Rattus norvegicus: one gene and its partner. The protein of the gene in region 2 purifies or fractionates together with the protein of the main gene of each other region. This does not show direct contact. Links are inferred from orthologs where the notes say so. Each region holds a gene or a part of one and is shown on either strand. Other genes may lie near its edges.

What was found.
Region 1: the proteins of Cep76 (region 2) and Cep97 purify together in Homo sapiens (co-immunoprecipitation; 4 studies listed by BioGRID and IntAct, with this or other methods). This does not show direct contact. The link is inferred for Rattus norvegicus from reciprocal best matches to the Homo sapiens genes CEP76 and CEP97.

What each region holds. Positions count from the first base shown.
Region 1 is NC_086029.1:58,178,782-58,181,339, reverse strand, and holds the end of Cep97 (centrosomal protein of 97 kDa), read right to left. Parts: intron 1,725-2,558; coding exon 1,035-1,724; 3' UTR 817-1,034; downstream 1-816. UniProt on the Homo sapiens protein: Acts as a key negative regulator of ciliogenesis in collaboration with CCP110 by capping the mother centriole thereby preventing cilia formation. Required for recruitment of CCP110 to the centrosome.
Region 2 is NC_086036.1:63,449,415-63,452,189, reverse strand, and holds the end of Cep76 (centrosomal protein of 76 kDa), read left to right. Parts: intron 1-1,109; coding exon 1,110-1,327; intron 1,328-1,492; coding exon 1,493-1,631; 3' UTR 1,632-2,214; downstream 2,215-2,775. UniProt on the Homo sapiens protein: Centrosomal protein involved in regulation of centriole duplication. Required to limit centriole duplication to once per cell cycle by preventing centriole reduplication.

The DNA of each region.
Region 1 (2,558 bases), on a different chromosome or scaffold from region 2:
TGCATCCTCAGAGGCTCAGGGTTTAACTGCCAGCACATACACACACACACACACACACACACACACACACACACACACACCACACACACATACACACATACACAAGACACACACACAACACACAGACACACACATACATACACACAAGACACACACACAACACACAGACACACACAACATACAACACAACACATACACACACATACACACACACACAACACACACAACACACACACACAACACACACACACAAGACACACACACACATACACACAACACACACACACACAACACACACACACAACACACACAACACACAGACACACACACAACACACAGACACACACACAGACACACACATACATACACACAAGACACACACACAACACACAGACACACACAACATACAACACAACACACACACAGAGACACACACACAAACACACACACACAAACACACACACACAAGACACACACACAACATACACACACAACACACATACACACAAGACACACACACAACACACACACACATACACATACACACAAGACACACACACACACACACACACACACACACACACACACACACACACAGAGGCTTTCCTTAACTCAGAGGGTGAAAAAACCATGGTTTTAGTCCAAGGAGACTGCCCAGTTGTCCATAGCCCTCATCCTAGTCATGTCTTACGTATTATATCCCTTACTATGTAGTTAGGAAGAACTAAGTTCTCCTATTCAAATAACCAAGCTACTTCAAGAAACGGCTTCTGAAAGGCAGTACAGATGTAAAGGAAACATTATTAGTGTAACTATTGAGAGATAAAGTGCATATTCCTTTTAATATTTTGTTTAGTACAGTAGTACAACAAAAATGAATACGTAGTTCAACAGCTAATATCTAAAAACTGTGGGACAAGAATACAAGTTGTAGCTAAAGAATAACAAAATGGGGTACAGGGTTGCTCCCCTGCAAAAAGAAAGTGAAAACAGAAAATCAAAGGGAATTTCTGCTTCCCAGTTAATCAGACAGGCTACACAGTGACACCCACTTGCAGCACCTGAAATGCAGTGTCACATTCTGGAGGCTGCCCTTGGACTTCCTCGTTTAACTTACAATTCTCTGGTGTCTGGCTAATTTCCTCCTGTAAAGTAGGAGATGCTCTATGAGCCTCACTGTCAGAGGCACCCAACCTTTCCGGAGAACAAGCTAGGAGACGCTTATTGTCTCCCGCCATATCGTCGGGACCTGCCCTGTCATCCGCGTCATCCAGCTGCTGGACTGAAGCTAAATACTGCTGCAGCAGGGTGTTATCCTGCTCACTGGTGGAGCTTTCCTTACTGCAGTCACTGTGCTCCTCAGCTGTGGCCTCTGAGTCTGGGTCTTTGACGTATTTCACTGTGTCAGCGGAATTCCCCAACGCGGAGTTTTCGCTGCTTTCTACCGAACTTTTTTCAAAATCCAAAGAATCCTGCAAACAGTGAACTTGTTCTGTCAGGGAGGAGTGAAAACCAGAGTCGGGAAAGTCCGGCACTGATTTCTCTTGAGGAGCGTCATCCTCAATAATGAGCCAATCCGAATTCTGATCGGAAGAGGGGTCCTGATGTTGTGGAAGTAACGGAGGCTTGGGTGACACCAGAGTACTTGATATAGGAGGCACATCAGAATGCCAGGAAACTAGACGCTGTTCCACTGTCTGCTGCCAAGCCTGTAGAGCCCTTACCTGTAAACCAGGAGACACAGTTTTACTATAAAGTACACATCCCGTCTCTCTTAAACGTCCGGACCTTCCCCCGCAGAAGCCACGCAGTTGCCTGCATTCATTACTCCCCTAACCTCTTCTCAGGGCAGAGTTTTGTGTCTTTGGTAGCAAAGGGCAATCCACGGCACAAAGAAGGCCACAGCGTTCTCCTGCTTCACTGGAGAAGCAAGACAGCATCTTTCTCACTAAGGGCTCGATGATGTGCAAAATATAGACCGACATCTAAGATGGTAAGGGTCAATTAGCGCCTCTGAATCTAAGTGGATCTTCTAAAAATCAATCTATTTTAGAAACAGATGCAGACATAGAATTTCCAATTATTTTAAAATGTGCTATTTATAACTTTCTTTTTTTTTTTTTTTCCGGAGCTGAGGACCGAACCCAGGGCCTTGCGCTTGCTAGGCAAGCACTCTACCACTGAGCTAAATCCCCAACCCCTATTTATAACTTTCTAAAATGACTAAAAGTATCCCAAGTTCTTGACAATATGACCCTTCATATCTTATAAAAATAATTTCCAATTTTTACTATAAGAATTGCAAGTTGAGCGGTGGTGGCGCATGCTTTAATCCCATCACTTGGGAGGCAGAAGCAGGCAGATATTTGTGAGGTCCAGGACAGCCACGGCTACACAGAAACCCTGTCTCACAGAACAAACAAAACAAGCAACAATAACAACAACAACAACAACAACAGGAAAAAAAAACAGCCAAAAAAAAAAAAAAAAAAAAAAAAAAAGGCATGCAAGGGTGGAAAAAGACTCAGTAGTTAAGAACACAAGCTATTCTGGACCAG
Region 2 (2,775 bases):
GCCTTGTATGTCCTAAGCTGGCCTCAGGCTTTTCATCCCTGAGATTGAACTTCGGATCCTCCTGTCTCCACCTCTTGTGTGCTGGGGTTACAGAACACACCTTTACACCTAGTTTTTTGTAGTGCTGGGGATTGAACCCAGGGCTCCATGCCTTACCAACCAATCTAAACAAATATAGCCCAAAATTTACTTTATTATGAATTCCATATTAGGATGATTCTGTGTATTCTATCCTAATGAGTAATTATTTTATACTTCTGAGCCTTAAATAAGTACTCTCCTTACTAGCACCATGCTGAAAATATTAAATGCTTTATGCAATAATGGATAAAAAGTATGTTTATAGCAAATTATTATAGTCTATTTCTTAGAAGTTACTTCTTATTTTTATTTCTATCTAGCCCTAGCATAATTAAGAGGAAATTGAGATATTAGGACAGCTTTAAAAAGTCTCTTCAGGCGGGTGTGATGGCACACAGCTTTAATCGTAGCTCTTGGGAGACTGAGGCAGGCCGATCTCTAGAGGACACAGTAGTCTACATACTGAGTTCCAGGACAGCTAGGGCTATGTAGAAGACACTCTGTCTTTAAAAGAAGAAAGGAAGAAAAATCTTGAAACCATGGGAAGGAGAACCAGGCAAATCCCCGAGTTTCAGGCCCTCCAGGGCTACATGGTAAGAACCTATCTCTTCTTAGCACGTGTCACTGTGGCACATATCTGTAATCCTGGCACTCAGGACACAGGGGCAGGAGAACCTTGTCAAATGGAGGCCATCCTTGATGCTAGATAGGACTATGCATGTCTGTAATCCCAGCATTTGGAACACGGAGACAGGAAAATCAAGGATCCGCTCTGATCACACTTGGTTGATACCAGACTGGACTGTATGAAACTGTCTGAGAGCAACAAAAGTGAGCAAACGCACGCTAGAGTGAGCAGTTCGCTAGGTGTAGTGCGCATTCCTACATCATAGCACTCAAAGGCTACGGCAGGAGGATTGCAAAGTCTATGCCCAGTTAGGCCATGTTCCCTGCCCAATAGCAAAAAGTACATTTCTATGGATTGGTCTTTAAAATGTTAACGTATTTCACATTCTTAACTGATATAGGACCTCGGCCTCACTACTGTCTGGGAAGACCAGCTCTCCTATCTTTTATCACCAGCTTTGGCTTCATATGAATTTGAGCGAACGACAAGCATATCTGCAGGCAACGAAGAATTCCAGGATGCCATAAGGAGGGCTGTACCTGATGGCCACACATTTAAAGGGTTCCCCATACATTTTGTGTACAGAAATGCAAGGCGTGCATTTGCCACTTGTCTTCGGTAAGGATTCTGTTAATTCATAATTTAAAAATTTGTTAATTCATAGATATTTTTGTGCTAAGAATTTAGAAAGCAATTAATCTGCTAATTGCTAGTTGTGACAACATATATGCATGGGAGCTTCTAGAGTGACTTTGTCCTTAAATGTTTTTTCTTTTTAAATAGGTCTCCTTTTTGTGAAGAAATAATCTGTTGCCGTGGAGACCAGGTGCGACTGGCAGTTCGTGTTCGAGTGTTTACCTACCCTGAGTCTGCGTGTGCTGTTTGGATCATGTTTGCTTGTAAATATCGCTCGGTATTATAGGACTAACATTTCCTAAGAATTATTCCTGGGTTTTATTAGAATTGTATATGGATAGCTGTGTGAAGGTTTCTTAATTTAAAATCAGCCTTTTGGATGTCATTGTTTTGTATAGATCTGACTGGTAACGTTTTAAAATATCATGTATGTACTTAAAAATTAAGGATAAAAATTTGTACTGAATTTAGTAGAATTAAGGGTATGATAATAAATGGTACTTTGTTTTGAGGGACTCAGTAGTTTAAATGTGAATGTAAGATCTGCTACTTCATATTAATAAGTAAGTAAAGGGATTTGTCTAATGGTTTAAGCCATAGCTAAATCGAAATGGTCATTATTTTTCATAAATGAAAGATTATTTTACACGAATTGGGAGAAATTAACCTCATAATAGTTTATTTATTACATAGATGAAGATATATTTTGCTAAATTAATCATTTTTGTGTGGTACTAGGGGTATATGAGGCTTCCCAGAAATCTGTGAAGACTTTTATGTAAGAAAAAAGCTAGGTGTGGTGGCACACACTTTTAATTCCACAAGAGGCCAGCCTGGTCTACATAGCAAGTGTCAGGGCTATACAGTGAGAACCAGACTCCAAAACACAAACAACGACGACAAAAGGAATGTGGTAACCAAAATGCTGAATGTTAATAACAAATCGCACATGGATATGGACTATGAATAATTTATGGATATTTCTAAAATCCATTGAGCACTTTAGAAAGTGACTTATTACATGTCATTGTCACGATACTGGCTGCTCTTTAGTTTTTGTTGTGACAAAAGCATCAGCCTGTTGCCAGGCTGTGGTGGTGCAGACCCTTACTTCCAGCACTAGGGAGGCAGAAACAGGCAGATCTCTGTGAGGTCAAGGCCAGCCTTGTCAGTAGAGCTAGCTCCCGGACAGCCAGGGCTACACAGAGAACCCGGCCTCACAAAACAAACAAAAAACCCAAGAAAGAGACCGACCAGCCTACATGTGATTAGTGTCGTGGGAAAAATCATAAGAGGCTATGGAGAAAATGTGAACTTATATTTTTAAATCGAGGAAAGTTTAAACATTTTAAGAGGGCAAAAGTAAGTATTAAAAACTAAAGGAATTCGACTTGTAGCTAGTGATGGCTGTTGTGACTGTCTGCTCTGCA